Astyanax mexicanus: one gene and its partner. The protein of the gene in region 1 interacts with the protein of each later gene in a pairwise test. Links are inferred from orthologs where the notes say so. Each region holds a gene or a part of one and is shown on either strand. Other genes may lie near its edges. The genes, in order: bach2b and batf3.

What was found.
Region 2: the proteins of bach2b (region 1) and batf3 interact in binary tests that used the Homo sapiens proteins (3 or more experiments, as listed by UniProt). The link is inferred for Astyanax mexicanus from reciprocal best matches to the Homo sapiens genes BACH2 and BATF3.

Annotation. Positions count from the first base shown.
Region 1 is NC_064408.1:47,683,536-47,700,452, reverse strand, and holds the start of bach2b (transcription regulator protein BACH2), read left to right. Parts: upstream 1-7,885; 5' UTR 7,886-8,249; intron 8,250-16,917. UniProt on the Homo sapiens protein: Transcriptional regulator that acts as a repressor or activator. Binds to Maf recognition elements (MARE). Plays an important role in coordinating transcription activation and repression by MAFK.
Region 2 is NC_064408.1:57,263,056-57,280,205, forward strand, and holds batf3 (basic leucine zipper transcriptional factor ATF-like 3), read left to right. Parts: upstream 1-8,928; 5' UTR 8,929-9,144; coding exon 9,145-9,213; intron 9,214-10,430; coding exon 10,431-10,535; intron 10,536-12,949; coding exon 12,950-13,120; 3' UTR 13,121-13,767; downstream 13,768-17,150. Other genes in the region: putative deoxyribonuclease tatdn3, read right to left, coding at 884-940. UniProt on the Homo sapiens protein: AP-1 family transcription factor that controls the differentiation of CD8(+) thymic conventional dendritic cells in the immune system.

The DNA of each region.
Region 1 (16,917 bases):
TGATTTAAATCTTAGAACAACATGTGCCGTCCTCATAAAAACATAATTTCTAGGGATTTCCATGCATTAAAAAAAAACTATGCAAAACCACATGCAAAAACACATTACAAAGACATGGTTGAAGAAAAACAGGGCACATACTGTACTTGACTGGCTTTCTGCAGTCCTGAACCCTTAGAAAGTGCTAAAAAGTACAGTAGGGTTGCCAATGCATTTGATTAATTTGAAATCAGCATTTTTTTTTAAGTTTGACCCAAACTTTCACCGTAATCTGCCCCGCCCCATCCAATGCACAGATTTCATGGTCCATTCCAAAATGAACTCTGGAGCTGTTCGCTTGTGGTGAGAATGTGATCTGGTCTAGATCTGATGCAGCTATCAAATATACTTCTTTTTAATTAAGCTAAACTGCTAATAAGGCGCAGTTTAATCTGCTTTATTATCCAGATAATATACTGATATGGACAAACATTGGCTCTGCTGCTGCTCATCCCATTAAAAACCCTGATTGAAAGCGCAGGGGCAAATTTTCAGTGTTCTGTGATAAAGCAGCACAGATCAACGCGCTGGAACACAGAATCTTCTCGCTATATTTACTTTCTTGCTCCCACGCCAGACAGCTCTGGCCAATCAGAGGAGACAATGTTCTCACATGGTTTATTGTTGTGCTGATCCGGACCATAGAAACCAACTACAGGTGTGAAAACGCTCTTTTATACTCAGCAAATTAAGTTCTAATACAGAAATCCTTAGAACCAAGCTGAGATGTTCAAAATAAAGTAAAATAAAAAGTTTTCTCTGTCCAATGTATCATGTATTCTTTAATCCAGTGCCCCACGTTGGCTTTATCTCTGCTCAAACATACAAGTATATACTAATATTTTAATTGACACAACTAATATAAATATAATTGCATTTTACATTTCTTACATTCGTTCTTTTATTTACATTTAAATATCCACTATAAAAACTTGCATTTGAAGAAAAACAAGTGTTAATAATCGCAGTTAATCACAGAATATTGTCGGGATTAAACGTATTCATTTTTTTACTCAGTTGACATCACTAGTTTACAGGAACAATGGTAATCGTTAACACCTTAATTGGTTATCATTCTTAGAACCAAATTTTTTTTTCTAAAAGTTAGGGAATTGCAACATTTAAAATTGGTAAATGCTTTACCGTCACAACTTTTTCAGGAATGTGTTGCAGGGCTGAAAAGCAGGAATTAATGTAAACTGTATTTATAGATGACATTTGAGCAGGCAAAACATAATTATTTGGATTTGTACTGTCTGTAGTAAAATAAAAGTCAATGTCAATGTAGGAAACATTGCATTTTGTAGTGTTTTGCCATTTTAATACTTTCACAACTTTAAAACCTTTCAAAATAATGTTTTGTATAATTTACAGAGTGAGAAATACAGTTTCCTCAAAGTTTACAGTTCACATGTAACTACTTCATAAGAAAATAGTGTGTAACTCATGATTCCTAACAGACAGCTTGATAAACTTTAAAGTTACTTTTTTCATACTTTTATGTGAATGAATATGAATTTGTATTTGAATGAATGACACAGCAGTCCCTTATTTTAGCACAGTGATGATTCCTCGATTCCTCAGCATTGAACTTAGGTTACCTTGATGTTGTGAGATAAAAAAAATAGAAAAGTGATGACTGGGTGATGTTTCACATTCACAAGTGCACAAGTTTCTACATGTCCTCTCACTCTGGGACATCCAGTCAGAGGGACACATTTAAAAGTTTTTTTTTTTCTTCTGGGTACATTAAAATTACCAGATTATTTCACATATCGCAGATACAAATCACATATATTTATGAATGATATAGTCTGATCTGAGCAAAAATCTCAATTTGTTTAATGAGGTTTGTAATGTGAATTTAGCCCAGAATTAATTAATTTAGACTGCAATGCATAATCAGTATATAATACCATATGAACATAAATCCAATAGGTATTTATAATATATCTATATATACACTTTTTATGAACAGAAACTTGGGCCAGATAAAAACAAATATTTTTAAGTTTAAAACTAGTTAATTTAATTACTGTAGAAATCTTAAATATTGTTTTTTTTCTGATCCTAAATGGCAAAAATAATTTTTAAATGTTAAAATAAACTGCCCATATAAGGACATTGTTTTTTTTTGGGGGGGGTGGGGGGGGGGGGGGCAAAACTACTTTGTGTACAAAGACAAAATTTAATTTTCTATACTTTTTAGGTCTTACTAATCCTAAACAGCTAGGATAAATTAAAATGCACACCAAGCAAAAATCCAATGAAAAATGTCAGATATCTGTGCATGGAGTTGTAGAGGTTCCTAATGGCGCCCTGTGATAATCAATATCAAGCAGCTTAAATATTCTCACACAGTTCCTGAAGATTTTACAGTATTTGTGAAGTTTAAGTAACTAAAATATTACAAATCTCAGGTTTAAGCTACACCAACTTCCAGTTTAACTCCAACAACACAGAATTGGACATGTTGTGTGAGCACTGATTCAGATCCAGGCATTGGCACTGTGTTACACATCTAGTATTTGAGGGTGTGTTGCACAAGTCTTTTAAGCAAGAGGTCAGTTGGCCAGTGATGTTCCTTGTGTGTGGAAGTGCATCTGTCTCTGTCTGTCTGACCTCTCTCTTTCTTTCTCTCTCTCTCTCTCTCTCTCTCTCTCTCTCTAAACCTCAGACACAGTGAATGCTGTTTGCATTACCCTTAATTACACTTCTTCACATAAAAATGCAAGTGTTTGTCCACCATGGTGGGCGGGAAACAACAGCACATGCACACGATGACCTGCCTTAACACACCCATGCTATTAGTGTAACAGTGCAGATGTTACAATATGATATTTTTTTTTATATATGATATATTTTTTTTCTAAAATTCTTCTTAGGGATTAATAAGTTATCTATCTGTCTGCCTAATTCTATCTATCTATCTATCTATCTATCTATCTATATATATATATATATATATATATATATATATATATATATATATATATATATATATATATATATATATTTATCTATCTATGCAACATTAATGCAGAAAAGAGCATTAAAGTGGACATGAAACATTTTAGTTTGTAAAGATTTTCTATGGGATTAAATTTATGTGGGGGGAAATTTTATATAGAAAATGTTTACACACTAAAATATAATATATTATGTTTGTTACTACCCTAAACATTAGTGTTAGCATTTGATTTTTGTTTGGTGTGCATTTTCATTTCTCATAGTTATTTAGGATTAGTAGGACCTAAAAAGTATAAAAACTAAACTTTGTATTTTGCCGAAAAAAAACAAAAACAAAAAAAACAATGTCCTCATATGGGGACAGCAGTTTATTTTAACATTTAAAAATTATTCTTGCCATTGTCACGTGGTCCCTGTCTGTTCTCGTGTTTCTGTGTTTATTTACCTTTTCTGTGCCTGTCTCTGCTTGTGACTGTGAGTGTGTCTCCCACGTGATCCGTGTTCCTCAGTGTTTCTTGCCCTCACCTGTGTTCATTTGTAACTCCGCCCCTTAGCCCCAGGTGTTTTCTGTTTCCCGTGTGTGTTACACTATTTATAGTCCGTGCTCCCTTTCCCTCGTGTCGGTTCTTGTGCTTTGTTAGCCTGTTATGGTTGCGTCTCTGTTTCCCATATTTCTTGTTTTCAGTTTAGTTTCAGTTTATTTGTTTATTTTTGTCTTTTGTTATTTGTGTAATAAATTCACTCGCATTTGCATCCGCTCTCCTCGTCCTTCCTGCCCGCACCCTGACAGCCATTTAGGATCGGAAGAACCAAATTAATAAAAAAGATACATTTTAGCTTTCTACAGTAAGTAGATAAACTAGTTTCAAACATAGAAATATTACATTTTTTATCTGGCCCATGTTCTATCCATAAAAATGTGTATATGTACATATATTATAAATATCTATTGGATTTATGTTTATATGGTATTATATGTTACAATTATATGTTAGACATACATATTTAATCCATATATACAAGTTTATTAAAATGCATACAGCTGTGGGCGGAGTTATAGCCCCATAATGCGTTGGATGGATGCACTACGATGTTCCAAGTGTTCTGTATAGTCTAGAGCAATTGCTATGGTTCTTTGTCTCATAACTATAGTTGCTCTCTTTTGTATATATTTAAAAAAATTAAAACCTTAACAGTGTATTTTGTAAAAAAAATAAAATAAATAAATAAATAAATAAATAAATAAAGGTGCCGAAACTGTCTTTTATTTTACTGCAAGTTTGGTTCACTTTAATGGACAGTTATTAAGTATGGTTGAGATCAAGGGTTAAAATGTGGCTCCTCTGGGAACTAGAAATGAATATGTATAGCACAGTACTCTCCTTATGTTTTTTTCCCACTGTCTCTCTCTCTTTCTTTCTCTCTCTCTCTCTTTCTCACACACACATGTATGGATCTGTTTTTGTCCTCCGGCCCTCCAGTCTCTCCGGGCCCCTGACAGAATTCCCTGAAGGAAAGGTCAGAGAGTGCAGGAATGCCACTTCAACTGTCCATCTATGTGTATGTGTGTTGGGTTTGGAATATGGGGTGTGTGCAGTGCGGTAAAAGTGTGTAAGTGGTTGCTGCTTATGCACACAGTGTTTTTCTTCTAAATCACAAAAAGGTAATAATAAAATGACCTCCATTAAGATTAAAAATTAAAACATTAAAAATGTCCCTTTTTAGAAAGACTAATACATTCCACCTCCAGTACATGCAAAGTCAGCAACCGTCTCTTTTTGAAATATCACTAGGTAGTCAGAACCTTCAGTAGAAAGCACCAGATCCCCAGCTTTAATACACTAGCCATCAGATGCCTGTGCCAGCCAGCATCACACTGGAAGTAATGAGGGGAGAGAGCTCCCAGAGCACCATGACTCGAACATTGCGATCAAATTAAATGAAATCTAGGCCATAATTTAGCCAGCCACTATCAACTTTATGTTCAGTGATGGCAGGAACAAGAAACCTGAACTCCAGGTTCTGTTCAGTCGTCAGATTTATTACCATTTTAGCCTTTATGTGACCAGCTGGAACACCAGCATTGGCAACTAGCAAGTGTAGAGCAGGGTCTACAGGGCCAGCTGCAACATCTGCGGGCAAGAGTGCTGCACAATGCCATATATAATCTGTATGTCTCTATGCCCAATTATATCTTATCTAGTGCTTTTCCACCAAAAGAACCGTGGTGCTTTTCAGCGAACCAGCCTTAGTGCTCCACCAGTTTTAGTGGAACCATCAAAACGTCACAACATACGTTCACAACAGAGGGTGTTGCACAGCGGCGGTGAACAGAAGCAGTCACGATTCGCACTGAAGAACCTAGTATTACTGATTCCTGCTAAAAATTAATGTTCCTGGTTCTGGAATCTACTTTTGTTGGTGAAAATGCAGCAAAACAGTTAAAAATTAGGTTTGTAGCCAAAACGGTTCTACGTTGGTGGAAAATTGCTTATCTTGTTTCCAGCTTAGAGGCACCAAAACGTGTACTAATAGCTTTTAAAATTGTACATTTTCCATACTTTTCCCCGTATCCTTGTGCTTGTGTTTGTAAATATCATTATTACATTCAACTATCAATTGTTTTGTCAATAAGTGTTCTACACTGTTCCAAGAAGGCTTTGCACTAGATTTTTGAACACTGCTTTAAAGCATTTGATTGCATTGAGCCAATAGATCTTAAGTGAAGTCAAGTATTGATTTTACATTAGTTCTTGATCACAGATGCCACTCCAACTCCTGCTAAGGGAACTCAATGGAGCTCTGTCGCTTCAGATAATACAGTTTCACTGTTCCACAGAACAAGGCTGGAGGCATTTAACCCTCTAGCCCTTGCACAGCATTGGTCATTGTGTGGTTGGGCTCCTCCAGAGTGCCCCATTCTATTGACAGCACCCTATGAAGATTAAATAAGATGTTAAATTTTGCATTTGAACAATATCTGAACTCATTAGAAGGGGTGTCTGGATCCTTTGGGTATTAATTAGTAGAATTTAGATTTAAACAGTTAACCATAAATAGAAAATAACTTTCCACTCAATATCACACTTTTCAGAATAGCAGAATAAGTCATACCTCTTAACAGTAAGAGGACACTTTAGCTCAGAAAAGCACACTCTCTCACACACACATACACTCCTGTATGAATGCTCCAAGTGCAGACTCTGTGCAGACTCCCCAGGGGAAGAGCTCTCCCCTCTAAATGAAACTCTTCCCACCCAGAGCGGCTGTGCTGTGTGGGCTGCTTCAGAACAAAGCCAGGCTGTGTTGAGAAGACTGTACTCAGACACACAGACCCACACATATGTACCTCCTCTATCACATTGTTTTTCTTCATTGTTGTAAAAAGAACAGATGAACATTAGTAAACATTATGGTTTTAAATGCGTAGTACTGTATATTTGTAAGTCTGATCAATCTGACCACACTAGACAACTAGTATGATCAAGCTTAACAATACTAGTTAAACAGCCTGGCCTGCATCACCAAGCTGGTTGACCAACAAAATCAAACTGGTTGACCAGTATGACCAACATGACCAAGCTTTTTAACCAGCTTGACCTCCATGGCCAAGCATGACCAAAATCAAATGCAATATATACTCTATATACTCCTAAGTGGTCTAGCGTTCTAGCATATAATATGTTTTCACCTAGGTGACCAGCATAGACTATCTGAAACCAGCTACCAACGAAAGTTGGTCTGGGGCTAGATTCTGCAGCAGGTCAATTTTAAATATAATAATAAAAACAGCTGTAATTTCCATATAAATCACAGTAACAATTATAGTCAGTATAACTAGTAATCAGAACTAAAATAAACATTTTAATTGATTAATATTGTTTTTATCCACTGTTGTAACAACCCATCATTTATTGTTGTTATTTACAGTCAAAAACAGCTAACAATTTAGAAATTAAATAAGGACAGCCATAATGTTCAAATAAAAAATATTAAATTTATTCTTTATAACAATAATCACAGTCAATATAACTGTAATTGATAATAGATAAAATAATAATAATAATAATAATAATAATAATAATAATAATAATAATACTTTGATATTGTTTTTATTAAAAATAATTACAAATAATTATGGTGGTGTCCTGTTATATAGTACAGTACCGTATACTATTCCTAGCATTTAAATAATAACAATTATGATAAAATAAGTATGCTTATGTATGAATTATTTGTTTATTTCAAATATCAATTATTATTTTGTATTATTATTTTTACTTTTTCATTGTACTATACGAATAGTAAATGTTGTGTTACTGTATGATATAGTTATTTTCGTATAATATGGTAATATTATACAAACAATGTTTGTATGGATTTTATGCTTATTTTTTAAAATGCAAATTGTTATTATTATTATTATTATTATTATTATTATTATTATTATTACTAGGGTAATCTGTGAGTCTGACAGGGGTAGTAAGTTAACGTCAGCGCTGCTCCGTAACGCTGATTCTCTAAGCGGGTTTGCGCGCGCGTGTTGTCTCGCTGGTTTTGGCGCGCCCCCCGGGTCGTGTCGCTGTAGTGAACTGAACTGTCGATTCAGAAAAACACGCCGCGTCCTCCTCACTCCGCTGTGCGCGCGCACCGGCCCACCGGCCACATGTTTATGTGTTTATTTATTTATTTATTCGGTGAATTGTTTGTTTATATTGGGGGGGGGGGGGGGGGGCTGGCGCAGGCGCGCGCGCGCTGCTTTATTGTGTGTATGTGTGTGAATGAGGGCAGGGGGAGGTGACGTCATTTGGCGAATGTCAACAACGGTAGCGGAGTGAGAGAGAGAGAGAGAGAGAGAGAGAGAGCAGGGGAGGCGTAGAGCTTCAGTACCAAACACAGGAGACGAGGAGCTGCACGCTGAACGGAATCACCGCGCGCGCGCACACACACACGCACACACGCGCGCGCACTCGTATGCACACTCACATACACACACTCTTGCACATCAACAGAGAGATTCACAAAAACGCGCGCGCGTGCACGCTGAGGGGTCTTCTGTTCCCAAACTTGACTCTGCGAAGAGAGAGATAGAGAGAGAAAGAGTGCAGGCTTTGATCTTCCTGCACGAGGAGGCTTTAGAGGAGTCTGCAAGGAAGTCATCATGTGAAAGACATTGATTTTTTTTGAAGCACGCGCACGAACGGGCTGGATTACGAGAGAAAAACAGAGGGAAGTTGAAGGTAAGTGGACTCGACTGGCGTGTTCTGTCTCTGTCTTTTTTGTTTGTGGTTCTGCACTTCACTCAGCTCGAGCTCTAGTCGCTGCTTATATCGCCTCGTGCAGAAATGCAGTTAGAAACTCGTGCTTTTTGCAGGAGAGAGAGAGAGTAGGATAGAGAGTAAGTGAGAGAAAGAGAGGAGGGGGTGGTCGAGTTTCGGAGTAGAGCGAAGGGAACCGTGTCTTCATGCATTGCACTGACCACCCTGACCAAGCACGGTGCACGTGAACGAGGAGCGCGCGCCGTGGGACGTGGCCGCATCCTGTTGTGCTGAGCTCGAGCGGCCGGCTGCCTGTTTTTGAGCAGGAGTTGGATGCGTTGCCATCCCGGAGGAGGAGGAGGAGGAAGGGTGGAGGGGTTTGAGGGGCTTTAGGAGGAGGGGTGGGGGTGGTGGGGGTGTCAGGCATGGCCCTTGTTTTCGTGAAGGGAACAGAAGCTGTCACTCGCGGAAGCCTTGACCGACCAAGTGGCACACACACAGAGACGGACCAACCCCCCCACTCCCTTTCTTCGGGGGTCTAGTTCACCCTTTTCCGGCTTATTATTATCATCATCATTTATTTATTATTTTTAAAATGTTTTTTTAATAATAAGTATTTTAAAGAAAAGTAATATCATGTATTATTATTATTATTATTATTATTAATTGTATTATTATTATTATTATTATTATTATTATTATTATTATTATTATTATTATTATTATTGTTATTATAACCACAACCCTTACTGGTGTTACTATTGATAACTTGCTATTATTATAACCACTACTTCTACAGTTATTTTTTGTCTGAACCTTCTCCTACTACTAGTACTGCTATTAGTAATAGTAATAGTAGTACTCTTCTTCATCATCTTCTTTTTATTATTATTATTATTACTACCACGTGCATTACTGTTACTATTGTTATCATTAATAGCCTGCTACTATAGCCAATACTGCTACTATTGTATTGATATTGTCACGAAACCTACTGTATTATATCATTATTATTATTTTTATTATTACCATTACCATTATTGATGATTCTATTGATAACCTGCTATTATAACCACTACTGCTACTGTTATTTTCTCTGAAGCTGCTATTACTACTAGTGTTACTATTATTAGTAGTAGTATTAGTAGTGGTAATATTTTGGATCTTCTTTTTCTTATTATTGTTACTACTGCCACGTGCATTACTATTACTATTCTTATTAGTAATAGCCTGCTACTATTCATCTTATTTTCACGAAACTTAATATATATATATATATTTTTTATTATTATTATTGTTATTACTATTATTATTGCCACTAGTATTGTTACAGTCAGTAACTCAGTCAGTTAAGTCAGTTACTACTGCTGCTGTTATTGTAGCGCTGCTGTTTAACTGTTTTATTATCATCATCATTAATGATAATGAGGGCTGCTGTATTCTGTGCACATGGAGGGATCAGCCCGTCGTGTCACTTTTGTTTTCGCAAGAGTATCCCAGTGAAAAGCAGCAGCAGCAGTCCTGTGCTGTGGGAATGTGCTTATCCTGCTGCTGCAGAAAAGCAGCTCTCCGCCGGCTGGCTTTGTTCTGCCATCCACACACACACACACGCTCTCCAACCCGGAGCCACCGCATTACAACACCCCCCCCCCCCCCCGCCCCCTCCCCCCCCCCTCCATTAATCCACACAAATATCAGCAGAAATATCTGCTGTGTAAGGGGGGCTGCAGCAGCAGCCCTGCTGCCCGAGGGTGCCATTTAAAGCAGCAGAGTCCGCTTTTCCACACTCTCGGTCTCTCTATAGAAATGTTACTCACACCAAACAAACATTGAAAACACCGAAATCAGTATCGCATGTTTCCTGATAACTGAGGCGTGGAATCTGAGCTGAATGATCACTGACTGGAGATCAGTTTAGGAATAGGTTGCGCTGGAGTTGTGGGAGTCAGCGTGGACTGGAGCGTGGACTTGGTTGTAAACAAACAAGTCATCTTATTATCATAGTGGTCAAATTAAACCTTCGACTTTCAGATGACGTGTCGTTTTAATTCGGTTTCATTGATGAAAGCGCTTCGTCTCTCTGTAAATACAGCGCCGGTGTGTTGTCGAGTTGTGCTACCTTGTCAAACCGTGCTACCCTAGTGTATTTAAAGGTAAAAAGAAATACTATATCCTAATAATATTTTCGAATAGTCTCGCTGTAAAAGTGTCGATTTGATATTGGAATAGCCTAAATCGTTGTATCAGAGTAGAATTAAGGCAATACATGTAATTGGAAGCCATTCTATAGTTATTTTTGTTATGTTTATATTAGCATAATTATTACTTTACACGGTTGTAAAAAATATCTCACTCAAGCAAAAAAAGGCAGTGATCTCAGATTGTATAATGCACCCAAAACACGTGAAAATAGTAATAAAAATGAGAATTAGCGCATGCGCCGAGCTGCTAAGTAACACAAATCGATGGGTAGCACAAATCGACAGAACACCCCCCGTTGTGTTTTTGGCTGCTGGCTGTGAGAGCCGTGAGCTCGCTGGTTATGAATGACTTGGCTTTGTCTTCAGCTGGGAGGATGTATGAATGTAACATTAGCCCGCGTTAGCCTTTAGTTATCACACACACACGCGCGCGCGCTCCCGTAAGCTTCAGGAGCATCTGCTATGCTAATACAATGCTCGCTAGCGATCTTCTTGTCGCGATTTGATCCGATTAAGCGCGAGCCCGTGTTTGAACAGTCTGGGGGAAACACGTTTCTACGAGAGCTGTTTGGTGCTGTAAGAAATTCTGCTCCCATCCAAAACTGTGCACCCCCCTCCCCCTCCCCCTCCTCCTTCTCCTCCCTCACCAATGCGGTGATGCAGCATTTTACGCTGCCTTGTTGTTTCCACCCCGCCACCACCTGTTTTCCGCAGAGGCCCCGCCCACTACGTGCCCCAATTGGCTAATGTCCGGTACTCTTGGTACTTTCGAGCGCTCGTATTTGCATACAGCGCTGTGATTGGCCGAAATCACTGCCATCCCTCCAATCGAAGCCCAGGTGGCGGGATTTGTCTGAAAACAGGTGGAGAAAAAAGATACAGCGCGTTCCAGCCTGCATTCCTTTGTCTGCTCAGCGCAGAGAGACGGAACTCAATCCCCGTTATGTTTTATTTTTCATAAATTCACCAACACACAGTTATATATCCTATAATAGGAGGAGTATCTTAGAATTATACAATAAAACTGCTTAATTTGTTCTATAAAGAGGTTTTATGAACGTTTTAATGTAAACGTTTTGTGGGTGAGTCTTATGTTCATACTTTGGCGTCAGGTTTATTGTTCATGAACCGATGAACCTTTAGATACACGTGTATCTGTGGAAGTGTAAAAAAAAAAGATTTTATTACAAATCATTTTGGAGCATTTCATCATATTGGTCCATTCTTCATGAAATATACATTGATGAGAACAGCTGTCCGACTGTAAAAAAGAAAAAAAAGTAAAAAAGTAAAATACAGCAAAAACTGAGTTTTTCCACAACAGTGTTTTACCTCATTTATTTCATTCACATGTAATAAAACTGCACATAACCTGTTTTTTACCTCCTTTATTTCTTTATTGTAAGTGCCTGTATGTCCCATATGTCCTATATCCTACATTATGTTTCATCACAGACTGGCAGGTGCCTACCTAGGGAGAGCTTACTGTCATTACACAGAGCATTTATTTATTTTTTTGCCTTTCCACTGTCCATCTGTGTAAAGGAGCTAAGAGTGTGTTTGCTTTTGTGCTATTCTTTGTGCAATCTGTAACCAGCGCTCAACAACTGATAATTGATATTCATGTTATAAATGCAAACATCTATAAAAATATATAAAAATATATATATTAAGGTATTGCAAGGAAAGTGGACATTGTTTAGATTTAGAACACACTGTACTGTTTGCCTCCGTCTGACAGCTGATGTTTGAATTTCCGTACAGTGAATGACTGCATGTAGGAGAGCAGTGGTGTGAGTTCCACGTCGACAGTGCTCAGTGCTTGTGTCTTATCTTTAGTTCCATCTCCACGTTGCATGTTAGATTCACACAAAAAATAATGCATATTTTAATGAAGCTTGTTTTTGCACCGGACAGTGCGGTGGTAAAGTTCAGAGGAGTGTGGTGCAGCTGTAAATGCTAGCTAAAGGCATGGTTTTTGTCCTGTCCTGCTTGTTTGAATAAGCCCACCAGCGCTCTTTCAGAACACAAGCCTAGGGTATGAAAACATGTTCCCATAGCCATCCCACGTCAGCACAATGGCATGTTTGACTGAGCTCCAGATTTTGACAGAGAGAGAGGGAGCGAGAGTGTGTGTGCTGTGTGTGCGCTGTGTGTGCGAAGCTCCTGAAGTTCAGACAGGGCTTTTGTTGTTCCTCTCTTACGTTGTGTTAGGATGACACTCATGCCCATTGGCATCATCAGTCACCACTCGGAACCAGACGCTATTATCACTGCCAGGACCAGCTGTGTGTGCAGTGCCCTGCGCCGCACACACTTGCACACATTTAGTGTTTATTTATATACAATGATAGTAAAAATGTATCCCATATCATTCATACTGTATGTGTATGACTGTACAAATAATAAATTCTATACATATTATGACAGACATTGTGGTTTGTAGTCGTAGTAGAGGTTCTTAATGGTGTGCTTCGATAGTACATCCTGTGCAACTTTAATATTCATACAGTTCCAGCAGAGTTTGTGGCAAAGTGTCTATGTCTTTAGGCTTAGATGTTGAATCTTCAGCATGTGGATGAGCATTGTTGTGTTGGCGCATTATAGCACAGACCACAGTTCCTCCACGCATAAACTTGTTGGATGTTTCCTCAAAGAAAGAAGCAACACTTGTCACTACAGATGATTCTGAGTCACTCTACATGATTGTCTAGCACAACTACCCACCACATTTCACTTTTGATGCTTAATTCCTTGTGGGTGATGAGTTTATACACTCACTCAGGGTTCATACACATTTTAACCAAAAAATTTCCATTATTTTGTCATGAATTTTCCATGTGTTCAAGGCAAATTTTCTTTGACCATACGATTTTTAAAGCATCAGTGCAGACATGAACAATAAAACTAAAAATCAACTAAAACTATAATTAAAATGAATAATATAGTAGGTCCAAAATGACTCTGATAAGAATGTTGACAAACAATATTTAATAAAAAAAATGTGTGGCAGATCCTGAGAGCTCCATTGTGTAAGCTTAAAATTATTGAATGGAAACACAAAGATTTGTTGAACCTAATTTCAATGACTTTTCCAAAACTCTCTGGGTATTTTTATTTTTCCAAAACTTATCCATGACTTTTCCAGGTTTTTCATGACTGTTTGATCCCTGCTCAATGAAGTTATGAACAGTTATGTTGGATAAGCATCTGATATAAAATCAATATTTTGCCACACAGTTCACACTACACACACAATTACAGTTAGTTAAGCCAGTTTGTGTGTGAACATACTAACTAGTTTAGCCTTGTTGTCAGGAATCACAGGCTAACTTAACTGCAGTCACAATTATGCAGATATTACAAGCTATTAGTTTCAGTGCTGACGACTAAATTGAAAGCATTTACTATATGAATTATTATCTCTCTCCCCTCGTTTGTTAAAGTGACAGTGGGAAACACAAGGTGACCGGTAAATAAATCAGCTGAATTCACTGCTGACAGCAGGGAAATAAAGAAGCATATAACAAAGTATCAGAATATGATAGGGCTCAAAATAAATCTATAAAAAAAACGACAAAAAAAAAAGCCTTTCAGATCAGATCATCAGCGCCGCTGAGTGTGCCCTCCCTCACTCTCCCCTAATGCCTATCAGAGGCTCATCCCCCACTCATTAGCGTCTAATTGTGTGAAAGGATCAGTCAGACCGACTTACTTACACACAAGTCGCAGTTAAACACAGCTCCCCGGAATCAGAGCAAGCCTGTGTGTGTGTCTGTGTATATGAGGAAGAGAGACGCCTAGTAGTGATCACTAGAGCTGTGTTTATTATCACGTTTAAGCAGGTGGGATCAAAACCAATTTTCTACAGTTTTGTACAGTAACTTAAAACTGTACTTTAATATATAGATATTTGCTAAGAATACTAAAAGCAGGAGTCAGTTTTTATAGAAGTTTAAAGGAATATTGAACATGTTTTATCACAACCTAAGACAGCTACGACAAGTTTATTATCTGTAGTTTGCTTCTTAAGTTTACAGTGCAGATGCTAGGAGCAGTGTTAATGTATATGGGTTTAAAAAGCAATGTCAATAAAGGTTTTTGAAGTATATAAGTATATCTACACTGATGGGTGTGGTGGTCTGGAAATGAGGTGAGTTCAAGTAAATTTCTGGCGTTTTGCAGTCACCCATCAGATGTTCATTGCTATCTAGGTAACGCAGGTTCGCAGTGCACTCAGCGCGCTCAGTGTGGGTATATCCCTGCTCATTACACAAACATGAGGACATGATAATAAGAATACAAAATAAAGTAACATTGCTGTTCTCGTAAATGAGCTGCTCACTCTCCTTCATTAATTAAGAGAATTAGTACATGCCTTTGAGCCATGCAAAACTCAAATACGAAAAACACACTGACACGCCCTAAATCAAGGGGCACGCTGCAAGGTTGCCGGCTCATCTATAGATCTCTAACATAGGGCTCTATTATGTGTGTGTCCCAAAATTTTTGTCCTAATGGTGGACTTGTGTTGTGCCTGTGCATGTCCCCGATTTCTTCTTTACAAAACTCATATGTTGGTTTAAGCTATATTATACCACAGTTCCAACCCTGCAATGTGATTGGCTGAGAGGCATTCTATGAGTGCCATTATCAGCCAGTAATGCACTGTAACTGAAGCTTTCCATGTATTACTCCGCCACATACAGGTAACCTAGCAACAATGCAGCGCTTACAAGCCAAACAGCGCAGCTACAAACAGAGCAACAATGGAACTATTTTAACTCGCGGAGTGTTTATAATCAAACAGATCATATTTTCTCGTCACTACCAGTATTTTATGAATAGTATTAGATCAGTGCATCCCTGATCTTAAACACTCAGAAGTGTTGTTTTATTTGGAAATGGATAAATACAAATATAATTTAATTTACAGTAAAAACGCTAACTTGTAAGCATGCCATTAGGTTGAATTAAGATGCAGTTCAGTGTAATTTTGATCAGATAAGGCAGAAGCACAGTTAGTCTGGGCACTATTTTGGGAGATATTCTGTGTATATGTATGTGTGAGTGTGTGTGGGCGGGTTTAGTCACAGGGTTATTTTTGGAGTGTGTTGGTGCTGCTGTTTGTCTTCGGCCTCAGACATATCCAGGTCCTTACTTGTGCAGCACAGAAAATACACATCGCAATCAGTGTGTGATATCCAGCGAGTGTGTGTAGTCCTTCTCCACAGTATGTCCATCAGTCTACAGGAGTGTGCATTAGTGTCTGAAAGTGTCCAGAGGCCAAATCTGACCATCTATGTGCGTCTGTGCTTTCAGGCGCACTCATTCATGCATTTGTCTGCTAGTGTGTGTATTCAGATACATGATCACAGTCACACACACTGATAATATTCACACATTCACTTCTGTACTCTCTGACTCAAATGCAGGTGGGCTTTTTGAGCTAAATAAAGACATGGTCACTGATTTCTTAGAACTGTAGTGACGCCTTCAGTGTGAAAATGGCACTATAGAATAGAGAGAACTGTTGTGGTTATTATTGTGCTATTAATATCTACCCATTCTACCCAAGTCTCTTACTTAGAGCACGATAGTGAGTAGTGTACTGTGTACTAGTACAGCACGCTTAAATGTAAAGTACTATACTAAAGTGTATCATGCTCTATTGAACTGTTCTGAACCTTTCTAGGGTGTATTGTACTGTACTATACTGCAAGATTACTGTAATGTAAAATAATAATAGTATATTGTATTGCACATCCTAATGGTGTAGAACATTACCCACTTAAATACCTACACAGGTCCCCAATTTCCACTTTACAAAACTTATGAGACTCATGTTAATTTAAGCTATATTATACGACAGTTAGTTCTGACCCTGCAATGCAGTTTTTATAACCAAACAGATCATATTTTCTCGTTCTCTTTAAAAATCTTTCAATAAACAGAGATATTGGAACTGTGGTGTAATCGCAGTAATACAGTGCCAATATCACAGGTTATAGCACTCCTTCTTGTGTAATATTTTTCCATAATTATACCACAATTAGTTTCGACCCTGCAATGTGATTGACTAAGAGGCGTTCTGTGAACGCCGTCATCCACATACAGGTAAGGATGTAGCACGTACAAGCCAAACCGCGCAGCTACAAACAGAGCAGCAATGGAACTATTGGTTTATAACCAAACAGATTGTATTTTCTCGTCCATGTATTGTACTGTACTGTACTGCTAGAATATTTTAAAATACTGAGGAATGTCAAATACTCATTTTATGTAGTATAAGTCAGCGTTTCTCAACCTTTTTTCTATCACGACACCCTTTAAATATATGCGAGATGTCACGGCACCCCAGTTTACGGGGCTGGGGGTGCTGGCGCAGTCCTTCAGGTGAGAACGTGGGGGTGGGGGGATGGGGGGTGCTGGCGCAGTACTTCAGGTGA
Region 2 (17,150 bases), about 9.6 Mb from region 1:
TAATCCATTAGAGATGTTAGGAAGGCCATGAGCAGTGCCAAAAAACATAGGTCTGACATCTTTGTGGTGACCTGGCAACACCTACCAAACATCTGCGACACACCAGACAATTTTGGGGAAGCAGTGCAGAGCTGTGTTTAAAAATGAGTGTAGAACTGTAGTGCTGGTTGACTAGCATTCATTGAAAACACGTTATAATTTGGTGTTAACCCATAAAAGCCCGGACCTATTTCTGAATATTGATACCAAATTCTAAACTGAATCAGATAAATTTAGGGAGCAGCTTTTTTTTATGTTTTTCTTCTTATTGTGGGCACATTACTTTATATTTAGGAAAATCATGTCCGAATTAGTTATATAAAATGTAAAGCATCTAAATGGTTAAATGGTTGGAACATTTAACACTTTTAAAAGGAGTTAGTTTTAGCTCCAGCACATTAACATTCTGTAAATAAGGGTCTGATGAAAGAACACAAGAAAGATGAAAGATTCAAACTGTCCAGTGATGCTCCTAGGATGTTCCATATGTGTCACTATGTGTCACTAATAATGTTCTTCATGAGTTAAAATAAAGCAGAGACTGCTGTAAGGAACTTTACACAGATTTTAAATGGTCTTTTAAACACATATGTCACTGTAGGCTCTTTGGGGTTAATCTGGTGGTTTTGGATGATACTATTGCTAAGAAATTTTAAACACAGATTTATATATTAATCTGTATAACACATGGTGAACAGAGAGAGTTTAGCAGACCTCTAGTTATTATCAATGCTGTTTTTTTTCTACACCGTTTCACTATAAACCGGGTTCACACCGAGCCTGAATAAACAGCTGACAGTCTGAGTTAACTCCACACTGAGCGCAGTGTGAGTCTCCTGTTTACCTGGAGGAACTCGTTAGCTGACAGGTGGCAGTGGCAGTCTACCAGAGGTTCATCCATCTCACTACTCACAGCGTAATAAACTCAGAGCAGAGCTACACATAAGACCACTGTTATTCAGTGATCTTCGTGTCTGTCACGCCGTGGTTAGAGCAGTAATCTGACGGTATAGCGTCTCTGCGACGGCTGGTGGGGTCTCAGTGAATGGAGCCCGGGCGGAACGACGTACACGGTATTCTGTTGTTCCGCCCGGCTATATGTTGGTGGGACGCGTGGTTTTGAAGAGTTGGCGGTAGAAATGGAGGGCAGGGTTTCTGTTTCAGACCCGGAGAAAGAGCCGGACCCCAGAGTGTCCGTCAGCTCGAGGAGACGCGTTACAGAGCAGATAGCGCGGTACCAGGAGCTGCTGAAGACGCTGCTGGAGAAGCAGCCTGAGCTTAGCGAGCAGAACCGGGACAAGCTGAGTCAGGAGGCGCTGAGGGTGAGACTCCCGAGACCCCCCCTGTTCCCCCTCCGCCCAGCGCGGACAGTCCGCCGCAGCGCCGCTCTTTACTGCGGGGCACCATCACCCGCCCGCCCGCGGCTCCCTCACACACGCACAGCGACAGCGTTTAATTAACCAGTAACACCAGAACCGACCCGAAAACCAGCTCAATATTTAAACTAGTGTAAAATTAGGACATTTAACCAGCCCGCATGTTTTATTAATTTTTGACTGTTTGTTTGATTGTTTACAGCAACACAATAACACTGTACCAATTTTATTGTCTTACTCTCATCCGTACGTGTATACAGACATTATCCATTGCTCAAACGTTTACCTTCGTTTTGTAACAGCAAGGCCAAGCACACCTACACACGGCTAGTAACAGAATAACTAAAGAAAAAAGCATTTTTCTAGCCACTTCAACAGACGAGGGTCAGTGTAACGCTTATCAGTTTGACTTTGTTGACCATTTGTGGCTAAATTTAAAATGTAAAGATGTTTTATTTTCAGACTGAAATTCCCTATTGGGTGTAGCTAAAAGACAGCAGGTAGTAAAGGAGATTCTGAGGACTGAGCACAGTGAGGCAGATGCACAGTGATGTAACAGTAATGTAATAAGTAATTCCAGAAGTAGCAGCAGTTATTTAGGATTAGCCTGAATCTAAATTTATACAGGAATTCATAAGTAAATCTCAGATTGTTAAGCATGAAACATAAATGATTGGTTAAAACGAGTGTGAATAGTCAATGCCAATAAAGTGTCACTTGTTGCTCTTTAGAATTTTGAACTTGTGGTGCAAGAAAACATCGTTGTTGATGGTTTACCATGGGAGGAGGCAGCAGAAGAAGATGGGGCAGGTATGTAAACCAAATGATTGATGCTGCATTACTTTTTGTACTGGTTGCACTGGTACAACATGTGCTTTTTTCTTTAGGTTTCACAGAAATCAATTCGTCATCACTGGGAACTTTTATTGCTCTTATTAAAAGAGAGCATAATTTCAACAATGAGAAGAGAGCTTTGAACCCTTTGAACTAATCACCTGTATTGGGAATAATTTAATAATTGTTTTTTAATGATGTTTTATAGATAGCTGTTATACGTGCACTGGGATATATACACATGATTTTGGTCACAACTTGTATATTCAAGTATAATGTTGTAAAGTTTGTGAGTTTTTTTTATTTTTTCTGATGGGAAAGTCTGACCGAACATGCCTGGAAACACCTCAGTTCAGTCTCTGGTGGTTCAAGTCAGTGGTTCAGACAACTGTGGTACTAACAAAGTACTGTGTTTCGGAGAAACGGTATTACTTCAGAAGTTAATAAGCTGTTTTCACACTGAATGCTATATATGAAGCCCTCGCCCCTCACAGCCAGACAACACTGTTTGCTGACGAAACTTCACCAAATATACGCGGGCCCTTCCACCGAAATGTTTGGCTGTATGTTTGTTATGACAAAAAAATACTATATATCCATGCAAAAACTGGATTACATTTACTAAAATTCACATTAATAAATCAATAAACCAGGGGACAGTACTCACTCCTGTTTTTGGCACATGCTAATAGCATGAGGACACTGATCACTTTCTAGTGATTTTAGTCACTTCCTGTTGTAGATGTTGTGACTTGTAGAATGTTCCAGTTGATTTAGACGGTAGGAATGTGTTACAGTAACAGGAATGAGTGAAACCCAGGGACACAACCAAAATGTATATTTTAACTTAAATATTATGGATTTTATTATGGAAATATTTTTAAAGCATAGATGGGATTTGAAGTCCCACAACAATGCAATACAATACATCTCTGAAGGAGTTTAATAATTATATGTGATTTATAGTTAGGTTTTTAATTAGAGAGTGGGGACTCTTTCTAGCACTCTCAGGTTTTTTTTTTCTTCCACCCCCCGTTTTTTTCTCGGTGCACAGAAACTTTTCTCTCCTCCAATGGCTGGTTGGCCGATGATAGTAACCTAGTTGTTACCTTTACTGGTTAAACAGTTGTATAAGCATAATAATGTTCATGTATTGAATTTAACAAATAACATGTTATTTTGTGCTCCTCTAGATTGTGAGGTCAGTACATTGGATGACATGTTGGATGAAAAGATTGTAGAGGCTACCAGGAAGCGAAGCATTTACCCAAAGAAAATTCTCCCATACGTTGTGCGGTCTTTAAAAGCTGAGCGAAAACTCATGGTTAGTTGTTTTCCTTTAATAAAACTGCATGAAAAAAAGTGTTGTGTTTGCAGTGATGTGTACCAGCTGAACCCAGCCACAAGATGTCGTCAGAAAGATTTAAATTTAACTCTAAGTTTAAGTTGTGTTTAAAACGATTTGAATTTGGTTTAGGGTTTGTTGGAAAACACCATTGTGCCACAAGAAATAAAACGAGACCCTGCTCAAGGTTAGCCTTCATATACTTATCTATCACATTTTGTGTAGTTTGATTGCTATAGAATTTAACAGTCCCTCTGTTTTTATTTTGTTTTGTTTTTATTTAAGATGCCATCATGAATAACGTGTCAGCTGCTGCTCCCGGGATGTTCGGCCAAGCATCTACAGTAATAAAGGTAGGAGTCAGTGCTGCTCACTGATTTTATCCAGAAAACTGATTATTTTGTTAATTTTGTAGACTTGCATTTAATTAATATAATTAATAAAATAGTAATTAAATTTAAATGTTCAGTATGAATAAAGGGGCAATAAGTTGCCTTGTCATTTGTAAGATATTTTTAAAAAATAGTTTTTATTAGCCCTGTGTGAAATTGGAAGATTATGGAATCGTAAAATCAAGTCCGTCAAGACTAGTTGGGCTAGTTTGCCAGATATTTTTTGGACAGACGAATCTTAAGTCTTGCTCTAATATCATAATTTATCCTTAGTGTATTTACAGGCTACATTAATAACAGCATGTTTGGTTTAATAGACTAAAAAACAGAATGTTTTTTTTTTTATAAACAATGTTACTTGATCTTTTATTTGCAGTCATTGAAAGCCTTGAAGCAGACAGCGGAGGGTCTATACCAGGTGATGAACATGCAACCCTCAGATGAGACATTGGATGTCTACAGGGAGATATTTGGCAGCTCTAATGGTGAAGCCTGCCCAGTCCTGTGCAACAGGGGACCTGCTAGTAAACAGGCCATCAAAAGAGCTGTATCTGAGACAGTATACAGCCTGGACTATGTCCCTATGATGAAGACTCCAACACTGGCTAAAAAAGACTGAGTCAACCTTTTTTTTTTTTTTTTGGATAATTCTGCATGGAAGAACTGCAACCAGTTGTTATAAGAGAATCAGTGTTGATTTAATTTCCCAAGATAATACTGTATAAAGATTGTACACAGTGTAATAATATATCATCAGTATGTGACAGTGATTGGCTATATAGGCTATAGGTTGGCTATTTGGCTATTTTTTAAGCATTAAAGTACCTAATACTATTAAAAATAGCTGACATGGCTTACAATTCATAATTGACATTATATGGATAAAAGTTTATTTGTGCATTCACTGTTTCTTTTGGAATTAATTTAAGACTTTGCAGTGCTTTTGTTGGAATACCTGTCTCTACTGTCCATGCAAAGTATCCAGAGCTTTCCTAGACTTAAAAGCATTGCTGTGAGTATTTGATAGCATTTAGGGACAGGAGTGGTAGTGAGGTCAGGATGTTGCATGATCAACACCTCACCTTACCCCCATTTCCTAAGCTCCTCCCCAAATTATTGAATGTAACACCATCATTTTAGAGAACACAGTTCCACTGCTCGTGGGCTTTTAAACAAAAGAGATGGATGATGACAACTTACTGCCTTTAAACACTTTAAGAGGTGTTTGCAGAAGAATGGAAAACATAACACCTAAGACACTAAATCACTTGGTACCCTCTGTGCCTAAAAGTATTTTTAAGTGTTTTGAAAAGTGTTGCAGGCATAATGCAGATATCAATGTTTGTTAATTAATTAAATACATAGAATGCATACTGTGTGAAGTCAAATATTTTAGTTTTGTGAATAGTCATCTGTGACATCTGAAATCTTTGTCCATTGTTGCATAAATATTGAAAGAAACATAGGGAACCATTAGTCATCTATCAATGTTAGTAAAGTGTTGTTGATCTTCATTTATGAAACTGTAACCCTGTTGCTAATCTGTGTAAGATGTTTTAAAGAGTACAATTCACTAATTGACAAATATTAATACATTTTATGCCACACTGCTAACATCTTCTAAAAGCTAAGGCTAAGTAGTGCTCTTATTATGATCTGTTTACAGTGGCCTGAAATAACTAAACAAATTAATTTTTTTTTATTGTTTAGAATTTGTGTAGATTAAACATGTTTTTTTCTACTAATATATATCTAATTATTACATAATTATTATTAGGAATTTGATCCCCTATATTTTAATGAATATATAAGACCTTAGAGTTTCAAAGTATAGCTAAACACATTAACACAAAGCAATGTCTTCATCCCAAAACCCCCCATCAGTTACATATTATACATGTCTGTACTACACAATACATACAGTGCCTGTTCCAAAATTGGAACAGTGAGGCTAATCCTTCTAATAGTGCTTTGATCTTCTGGTGAAGCCTCTGTACTTTTGTAATGAACTATTCTGTCAACAGTAGATTGTGAGATCTTCACTCCCTCTGGAGGAGGTTGTTGATGTTACTAACAGTTTTAGGATTATTTTACAGCACTCACAATGTTTCTGTCATCAACTGCTGTAGTTTACCTCTGTCTACCTGTTCGACATCTTTTGCTTAGTACACCAGTGACGACCAAACGGTTGTACTGCCTTTTGCCAATATTTGTGCAATGGCTCTGATTGATTTTCCATCTTTTCTCGGCTTCACAGTTGCTTGTAACTATAAATGCACAATCTGCACAGGAAAACCCCAAATCTGAAACTGAGTGTAGATATTCAGTACTGTTAATTGTTTGAATAATCACACACCTGGGCAACAAAACCCACTTGACAGTCACATGTTCCAATACCTTTGCTCACAAGAAAATGGGTGGGTTCAGACATCTTCTAAACTGTTATCTAAACAGCTATCTTCTAAACTGTGTATTAGATACAGATATAAATAAAATAAATAAAAGCTGAAATGTTTATCAGATTCATATTTTAATGTCAAACCCAAATGTTTGTTTAGTCTACAGCAGAAATAATTGACCTCACTGTTCCAATGCTTTTGAAGAAAAATATAATACATATAATAGCCTATGTTGTAAGAGTATATCTGTTTAACATTGTCAGTGGTATCAGCGTGCCATAGTTCCTCCACCGAGATTAAATATTCTATAATATTTCTGGCTTCTATTAATGAGTTACACTTAATTATTTAAATATTTGTTTTCTTTTTATACAAATTGCACGGACATTAAAATGTACTTTACAGGATCTGCACCTGTTCTGAAAAAGGTAATTCAGCATGTTTTAAAATTCTTGAATTCAGCTTAAACAGAGAAGGGCGAATGCTGAGTTTTTTAAAGGTATCCTGTTGGATTAGATGATGGAGAGCTGACAGGATAGGGAAAGATGGCGGGAAATGTGTCTCTGAAAGTCTTTTTATTCAGCATCACAACTTTACTAAGGCCATTATTAGAGCAGTAGATTTTAAACACAGCTGACCTGATCTAGATTGTGGTTCTTGGTAGATCTGAAATGTTGCAAATCTTTTTTTTTTATTCAACCAAACAAGTATACAAACATCAGACAGATAAAAAATGTTATTGGTAGGACTTAATTATTGATGGATACAACATGCTCATGGAACAGGAAAACTCACAGAATTAGAGAACACATAACAATATGAGAGATAACAAAATTATAAATAAAAACAAGCAACAATACACGAGAGCGAGTGCTCTACCATGTTATAGTGACCGAGTAACATAGAACAGCACAGCAGTGACAATATTACCATACTATATAAATGTTATAGCATGAGCCTCAAGTGCATATTGCAATTATTTAACTCTGTAAGTTAAAATAGTACCATTGCTGTGCTGTTTGGTTTGTAAGCGCTGCATCATTGACAGGTTACCTGTATGTGGTGGAGTAATACATGGAGAGCTTCTGTTACAGTGCATTACCGGCTAATAACGACACTCATAGAACGCCTCTCAGCCAATCACATTGCAGGGTCAGAACTAACTGTGGTATAATAAGACATTAATTGAGGAAGGCTAATCGATATACATTGAATCATCATTATTAAACAAATCATAATAACAGAACAACTTTCTTCTTTTTTTATTGATTATGCTTAAAGATCGGAGAAGTGGATTAAACCATACCTGTCAAGTCTCCCGTTTTGGCCGGGAAACTACCGTATTTTACTCCTCTTTCCCGCCGTCCTCCCGTATTAGTATTTTCCCGTAAATTTCCCGTATTATATTAAATTAAAAAATATATATTATTGAGGAGACAGGGCACTTACCGCTCTGTGTCTCTTAACCAATCGTGGAGCCGGTTCAAGGAGAAAGTCCCGCCTTTTAGGAGAAACAGCCAATCAGCTTGCAAAGGAGGGTCAGCGTGGGGAAGCCCCCCCCCGTCGCTGTGAGTTCAGGCAGCTAGTCGGAGCTGCTGATGTTAAAACATATCTGGATATTCAGCGATTTTTCTAAAAGAAAGGTAACGGTAGGCTAATCATGTAAACTGTGATGAGATTTTTCTGATGGCTGCTTAAAAATACTCGTCTCCGAAATAAAACACACAGATTAAACCTTTTAAAATAAAAAAATTACAGCTTGTGACTCAGCTTAACTAGAAATGTGGAGAGGACCGAAATGATCTGAACTGATCAGGGGTGGAGTGATCAAAAGAAAGAAGTATTAATTAAAAATTATTAATTGTGTAGGCCCCTTAGGACTATTTTTTACTGATGGAATATATCTGGTCTATGTCCTTTTAGTAAAAGCTCATGATACTATTTTTAGGTCACCTACAGTCATTTTGCAGAATTTGTGCACCCTTTGTTCAATTTTAAATCTATTACATAAATAAAAAATATATTATATAAAAGAGTGCATTTATGCCAAAAAGAGATGAAATCTTAACTTTTTTTTAAATATCTAGAAAAGGGTTTTTAATTTGGCTGTATTAAAAGAATGACATATGTAGGAATGTCCACAACATTTCAGATTCTGATAATCTAATTGTAGTGTGTAAGCGGTTTACATGTGGTTATTTTAGATTTTTTGTAAACATGTCTTAAAATGTAAGAGATACTGAACCTTCGTTGGGCTGGTGGGACAACTTTAAGCGTACAGAGGAAAATATCCCTTATTTTTAAATCTAAAACTTGACAGGTATGGATTAAACTGAAATACATAGAAAAGCTCTTTTGGTCTGAACATTTTTGGTTGTGAATAAAATATTTTGCGAGTAGATTATGGAAGTTTACAGTTCTGATGGTATTTTATTTGATGTAATGTCGCTAATCCTCCTCAGTCCTCCTCGCTTGGTGAGTTCTCTGAAGCTGTAGCTGGTTCTGTGAATGAGCTGCGCTGTGAGGTTACTGGAGGTCTCTGGGTTACTGTGTTAGAGGCGCCCTCGCCCGGCCGCTGCGGGTACTGCAGCCCTGAACAAGTGCACCACGTGACTTAGAAGAAAGTGAGTGATGGGTAGAGTACCGGTAAGAGCTGTGAGCGGCAGGCCGCTGGTCCACTGCTCCGGATGAGCTCCGGGAGGAGAGATGCGCTGAGTTGAGGAGCAGCTGCTGTTTTCTGTGTGAGAAGTGTTACTGCCATGTCCTCTGCTCCAGACTACTGCCCCCCCAGCCATGCACCATCCGCGCGCTCGTGCCTCCGGAGCGAGGTAGGAACACTTCACTCAGTCCAGCTGTAACTCACTGTTGTGTGTGTGTGTGTGTGTGTGTGTGTGTGTGTGTGTGTGTGTGTGTGTGTGAGCACTCTCCTGAAGTGTTTCTAAAGTTACCTTTTAATTTCACCTTATAAAAGCCACTCCCTACAGAGTGTAGCCGATTCAGTTCTTTTTCATATCAGCTCTGCTCTGTATGTCCAAAAGTGAGCAGACAGGCAAAGTCAGGATGTTAATGGGGCAGATTCTGTAGTCTTTGCTGCAGCTTTCAATTGTATATTCTAAATATTCTAAAACTGCTGTCAGGGATTGATTGCATTTGAAGCATTTCTGACGTCAGGTAACCTACTGGTGGCTACTTATCACCCCAAGCAGAGGTACTGGATAAAGCTCAATCACTGGAGAGAGAAATGTACCAAAACGTGTAGTCCAGTTTTTATAAACCTTCAACAGATGCCTGGCATCAAATGCAGTTGGCATTACCTTTCTATTTTAACTTTGAATCAACGTTAATGTTGGTGCTGATTTTGAAAAGTGGATCAACGTTAATGCAGCATCATATGTTCAACCTTTAATAAACCCTAGATCACATTCAGGATGCTGAAAATTGTATGGAAGAGGGGAAAAAATTGATGCCATGCTAAAAAATTAACAATTTTATTTTTATTCTTTCTCTCTCTGAATATGCATTTTTAAGAAGTAGGAACTTTACAACTCCAAACAAATTCAAAAGGTTGAAGGTGAGGACATTTTGATTCAATGTTAAAATTTCAATGTTGTTTCGACATTGAAATAACAAGACATTACTTCAACCATATTCAAATTTCAAACATTAAAGGTCAGTGTGTGCCACCTAGGTATTTTTATGCAGAGCTACTTTTGGACAGAGTTTACACTAACTGCAACTTATAAATAAATTGCATGTCGTTGCTGTCCAATGAAAAACAAGAAACTCCATTTTTGATTATTTTTTTACCGAATTAGAACACACAAACTCACCCTTACACTTTTTACGTAGTTTTACAAAATGGCATGAAATAAACTCTTTTTACATTGACTTTTATTAAAAGTTAAGAAGGTTTAATTTTTCTCTCCTAAAGTTGCTGTTTTTGGAGATACATGTATTTCATTGCACAGGGAAGATGTACAATTTCTACACACTCCTCTTGTATTGTGCGTGGGCTTATGTGGTGTCTTAATGAATGATGAATTAGAGCTCTGATGATGATGAGAGGAGGCTGAAGAGAAGAGAGAAGAACCGAGTGGCGGCGCAGAGGAGTCGTAAAAGACAGACCCAGAGAGCTGATGAGCTGCACGAGGTGCGTTCACACAGCACGCATATACTAATCACATTTTTGACGCAGCCTGGTTTCTAAAGTGTAAACACTGAGACCTTACCCTGAGAACAGTCATCTTACAGGTCTCATGATGACTAAACCAGGATTCGGACCGAGGAAGCATTTTGTACTTCACTTTTAAGAAGGACAAGCACAGGCTGTGTTAAATGTATTACTGGTCTACACACAATTAATAAATTAATTAACACACTGAAAGTTGCCAAAGCAAAAAGACACAAAGTTCTTACAGCTAAGTCAGGCTCAGAATTTTGCAGGAAGGTATAGCAGACAGAGACTAGAAAAAAGGTCTAATGATCAGCAACTGGAAGTGGGGAGAAGAAGTGGATTGATCAGTAGACTGGACTGGACGAGTAGGGGTGGACAAAGATGGACAGTAAGGCTGATAGTTAAAGAAATAACTTTGAGATTGCAAGTAAGCTATGCTTTAAAAAAAATGTGCCACGTGAGTTGTTAAGTGTTGTAATATTAGAACCACCTAAACAACCATGTTTAATAAAGAATGTGTGATTAACTCAGGGTGAGGAAGTCTGGTTCTGGAGGGCCTATTGCAGCTCACCCACTGCCTGCCAGGCTTAACATATGTTTTTATCTGCAGTCCTGCCATTCCCCACCGCTGTTTTGTAAGTTTAAAGAAACTTCACAGACCGTGCACTTTATGATGTTTTAATGATTATGCATTTCATTAAAAAAGAACAAACACTACATAGAAGTTTGTTTTTAAAATCTCTTAGGCCAGTGCATACCTGCTGTTTACATCTGTCATGAGTGATCTGATCATATGTTTACTATAAAAAAGAACAGTAAAATTCACTTTTGCAGTTTTACTCATGAATATGAGTTCAGTATTCTTGATTGTCCATTTCAGTTACTAAATCTGAATCCAAAAGAACATCTTTAAGATATAATATTGCTTTCACAATTGCAGTGTTTTACACAGACTTTACTCTTGCATATAGTGGGACTTGCTCTTTACTCTCCACTGTCTGCAAATTTCTTGCAGGGAAAATCTTTGTGGTTTAAAACTGTGTATCTCTCTGGGTTTAATTGCCAGATCATTCTGCTTGCTTAATAATAATAAGAACAGACATAACTGTGTATGTTTTAAACAGTGTTTCTATTGCCGGTGACCCACTGCCCTAAACAGGATGATTCATTCTTGGCCCCAAAACACATGATTCAGCTCATAAATAGCACAACAGTTTGACCAGGAGTTTTGAGTTAAAATGATGTACTTAAAATGATGTACCTGATTTACCAGGAGCAATATTAAGAAATAATGGGTTTAAATGTTTTCTTCAGCAATTATACTGTGACTGATAGTTACAGTTTGTTTTTACAAACGCTAATAAGTATTTACCAGTACTTTAGATACGTTTTCTGAACGTTTCTTATGTGTCCATGTCAGTGACAGCACCTGGCTATATGTCTCATGCTAAGATCCAGAACCAGCTGTGGTTGTCTTATCATAGTCTTTTAATTATTAGTAATGTTCTGTAAAGCTATACACCTGCTATTGTTGCAGAAGTAACTGTTTTGTCTTACATTTAGAGTTTGGAACATGAGATATTTATTTTTGGCATGCTATAGGCAAGAAATTGTAAATAAAATCAGAACGATCAGGAATTGTATTTAGTGGGTAATCTTGTTTGTTCATAAAATGTAAGCATGTTGAAATACGCTAATTGAATACATATTGTGTAATACCAACATGAATTGTATCAAGAGTATAGTCCATAACAGACAGGTGTATGTAGAGTTTTGAAAATGTGAATAAAGATTGGACAAAAGGATGTTAGCACCTGAAAAAAAAAACTGAAAAGATGTGCACTGGCACTACAAGGCAAATGAAGCTAGTGCAGAAACAGAGAATTGTGTATGATAAACTAAAATAGTAAATCAAATGTGTAAACCACATTGAGTTGACAAATAATGGCAAATTAGATATGGATTGAGTTTGCTGATATTGTCTATTATTCCTGAAAAAAACAGTTTTTAAAAACTTGATGTTTGACGCTTCAATGTAAAATACGGGGGAATTATTACATGTCACATTCTAAATAGAAGCTGCTAAATGTTTTAGTTATGTGATGTATTTTTGTTCATTTTTATATGTAACACTCTCATGCAACTTACATACTAAAGATTGTTTAACATGTGTCAGTTAATGAAACCAGAAGTACAGATACAAAATGATTTAAGTTTTTCCTGTGAAAAAAACATAGAAGTAAACTATTTTGTCACTAGGCATGTGTGATTGAGATATGTGGAGAAAATGTGTCCATCACATTTAACTTTACATCGGTGAATGTAACCTCCTTAAATGTATTGTCTGACGTGTTCTTTTAACGGTTCTGATTAAAAATGTTTCCACACAGGCGTATGAGTGCTTGGAGCAGCAGAACAGCTTGCTTAAGAAGGAGGTTCAGCTGTTGCTTGAGGAACAGAAATGTCTGTCAGAGGCCCTCCAGTCCCATGAGCCCCTGTGCCCTATTCTAAACAGCAGTGCTCTTCCAGCAGCTAGGACCAATGATGCAATTCCTCCCTGAGTTTACAAACAAATTACTGATGGTATTTACTGTATTCATTCTCAAAATGTTTTTTTGTAATTTAAGTTTGTATTAAATGTGTTAATGTTGTGCCTTTTTGATGTGTTGCTGCTTGAAAATGAGTGTTGCAGTTTGACACGTATCAAAATATTCTCTAGAAGTTTTTGTTTCTAGAAAAGCGTGTTCAATAACAAGATTTCAGTTTCATTTTTATGCTGTGGGAACATCATTGTGTCAGATAGTATTCCAGCTCACGTGAAATAAATTATTACTTCAGGACTGTATTTCACTATGTAACCGCAAACCAGTCTATTTGGTGCACCGCTGTAGTTTAAGTGCCACAAGAAGGAACACTTCTGCTTTACTGAAAGTGCTTGACCAAAATATCCTTTCTTTGTTTCAGGATGTCATGCTCTACTATTAACCATGTTCACTAGTTCTTCATTATATATGTGACAGTTACTTGTGAATAGAATGTACAGAATTTTTTTAATTAATTATTTTTTTCACATGCTTGTGATGTGCAGTGTGTTTGCCCTCATGTGAATCTATTTTTACAGATACTTGAATTTTAAAGTGGTTGTATTTTTCAAGAAGAATTCCCAAATTTTATGTCATTGAGGTCTAAATAAAGTTATTCAGAGTTGCTTAGTGTGGAAAGGTTCATTGTATCAAAACTCTCTTTAACAGAATAAGCCCTAAACTACAACAGAAAATGGCCATTTAATTGAGCACAGGTTCTTGCTAAACACTGTACTTTGACCACACTGCTGTGTTTTTAAATGTTTCTACAGTATATTACAATCTGAGAACACTGAGAAGACTCTGACAAGCTGTACTGTTTCATATTGTCCCTCTCTCTCCCCAATCTGTCACTAAAGGGCAGGCATTTGGTAATTGCTTTACCCAGTGATTGTAGAAAATGTAAACACTGTGGTTCCATTCCCTTGAATTCTATAGAATTTCTATAGAAACAGATTTATCATCATGTTAAATACACTAGAGACATCCCTGATGAGGAAAGGAAGTAATTTGGGAGTTCACACTGTGCTGATTTGTAGAAAAGTAAAAGCAGAATGAAAAACCTTTATGAGAGCAGGTTAACTGAATCTGAACGGTTTTTAATCTTATCTTGGAAACACAGTCCCACATGTTCATACACAAGGAGGTTTAATACAGTTTTTTTTGTCAGTAGTCATTCCCCAAAGGGTATTGGTGGGAAGGTGGGGTCAGCATGGTCTGCACAGACTGCAGAAGAGTTTGGAGATGAGCAGCACGGCACATATTGGAGAATACATAGGCTGCAGATGCTTGCTTTTTCTGTGATTTTCTGTTACATATTTAATGGTGCCGCTGCATCGGACACGTACTAGTACATATTAAACGAAATATCAAATATAATTATTAATGAGATTTCAAAAACAACAGGTGTGTTTTAAAGGACAGATGGATTTAGTGACATGTATTTCAACTTTATGTGTGAACTCCCCTCACTCTGAATGTTTACTGTGAATGTTTACACACTTGCTCATTTTCAAAATACAGTGAACAGTTTAATCTGACTATACTTGTTGTACAGTTAAGATAATATTTGGATAGTGGCACAATCATGATGATTTGGGCTCTGCATGCCACATTTGATTTGCGATGAAACAACTGAGAATCAGTTAAAGTGCAGATGGCCAAGTGTCCAAGTGCAGATGTCCAAGGGGTTGAACAAAAATATTCTATGAAACATTTAGGAATTACAACCATTTTTTCTACCGCTTCCTCATTTTAGGGGATTAAAAGTAATTGGACTAATGACCTTTGTCATAAATAAAACGTTATTTTTATATATATTTTAGTTTATAATATTTGTTGAGAATCCTTTGCAGGCAATGACTGCCTGAAGTCTGAAACCTATGGACATCTTCAAACACAGGGTTTCCTCCTTTATGAATACCTTGTCAAGGCTTTACTGCGGCTGTCTTCAGTTGTTTCTGGTTTGTGGATTTTTCTGCCTTTAGTTTTGTATTAAGTGAGTGAAATGCTGCTCAATTAGGTTCAGATCTGGTGATTGACTTGGTCACTGCAGAATATTCCACTTCTGTGCCTGAAAAAATTGTGTGCTGCTTTTGCAGTATGTTTTGCATCATTGTCTTCATAGACTGTTAAGCATCGTTCAATTATCGTTTCTGAATTTGAGCAGAGAGTAAATCCCTGTAAACTTCAGAATTCTTTCTGTCTGTCACATCTTCAATAAGCACTAGTGATCCAATGCCATTAGAAGCCATGCACACCCATAGCATCACACTGCCACCACCATGTTTTACAGAGGATGTGGAGAGCTTTGCGTTGAGCTGTTCCAAACCATACTTTCTCCTTCCCATCCTTTCAGTACAGTTGGATCTTAGTTTCCCCTGCCAAAGTCAAGTCAATTCAAGTAGTTTTATAGTCAATACTGCATATGTATAGGACATACAGAGAATTGAAATTATGTTACTCTACTTCCCAAAGCAAGTATAGAAAAAAAAATGGGAGACACTATATTTACAAAACAACAAGGACACAGATAAACATATGTGGGAAAAGTGACACAAGACAATAGTCCAATAGTGATGGTGGGGTAATTAAGATGGAATGACAGCGCAAGTATAATCAGAACGTGTATAACAGTAGTGCAGATATGGTATAATAGATTAAGGCTGGTAAAGTGAATGAGTGCATAAAGTTCTTAAAGTTCACAGTTTAAGGGCAGTTAAAGTGAGTAATGCAGTACGAGTATTAGCAGTAGCGCAAGTATGGGATGTATAATGCAGGTCCGTTTTGAAAAGATCTCCTGAAGTCCACAACAATCTCCTTGGTCTTCTCTGTGTTCAGAGAGAGATTGTTGTGTTTGCACCAGGAGGCCAGCCGGCTCACCTCGCTCCTGTAGTGTGACTCATCGTTGTTGCTGATGAGACCCACCACCGTCGTGTCATCCGCAAACTTGACGAAGAGGTTGGAGGTGTGTGCTGGTGTGCAGTCGTGGGTCAGCAGAGTGAACAGAAGGGGGCTCAGCAAACATCCTTGGGGAGCCCCTGTGTTCAGTGTGGTGATGCTGGATGTGTGATCTTCCGTAGACGCCCAGGCTTTTTGATTTCCTAAGCTGATTTGGCCACTCTTTACACTATTTTCTTCTTTTTATAGGGTAATAATGAGCAGGTTCTCCTCCATTGAGAGCTCCTTTGACCGCATGTTGTTCAGAGCAACAGCATCCAAATGCAAATTCCACACCTGGAATCAGCTCCAGGTCTTTTACCTGCTTAAATGATGATAGATTACTAAGGGAATAGCCCTTGTAGCCCATAAAATAGCTTTAAAGATAATTAGTCCAATCACTTTTGAGCCCCTAAACACTTATATGACATACTATAACATTTGTTCAACCTGTTGAATTAAACCTGAACGTCTACACTGTAATACAGGTGTTTCAAATCCAGTTTTGTGGCATGCAGAGACCAAATTATAAAGATTTTTTCACTGTCCAAATATTTCTGGGCCTAACTGTATATGCTGTATTTATGTTTAATAGAGCTGTTTACTATAATGCTGTGGGTTTGCTTACATGCTTGAAAATAATGTTTACTTTTTGAACATACATACATAATATCCTTCCTAAATCTTTAAAAGACATTCTGGGTATCATACTCTCTTTTATCCTCTGCTATTGGGTATTTTATGCCACGTTCACACTACACGACTTTTATCAAACAATTTACCTGTCAGATTTAACAACTAGTTGCTCGCATACTACACAACTAATCACTGACATGGGTCAGGAATTATCTGACTATTCATCAGGAGGAAACCTCTGTAAGTCTGTACACAGTAATTGAATTAGCACCAAACGTACACTACAGGTCAAAAGTTTGGACACACCTCCTCATTTAATGCGTTTTCTTTATTTTCATGACTATTTACATTGTAGATTCTCACTGAAGGCATCAAAACTATGAATGAACACATGTGGAGTTTTATGTACTTAACAAAAAAAAGGTGAAATAAC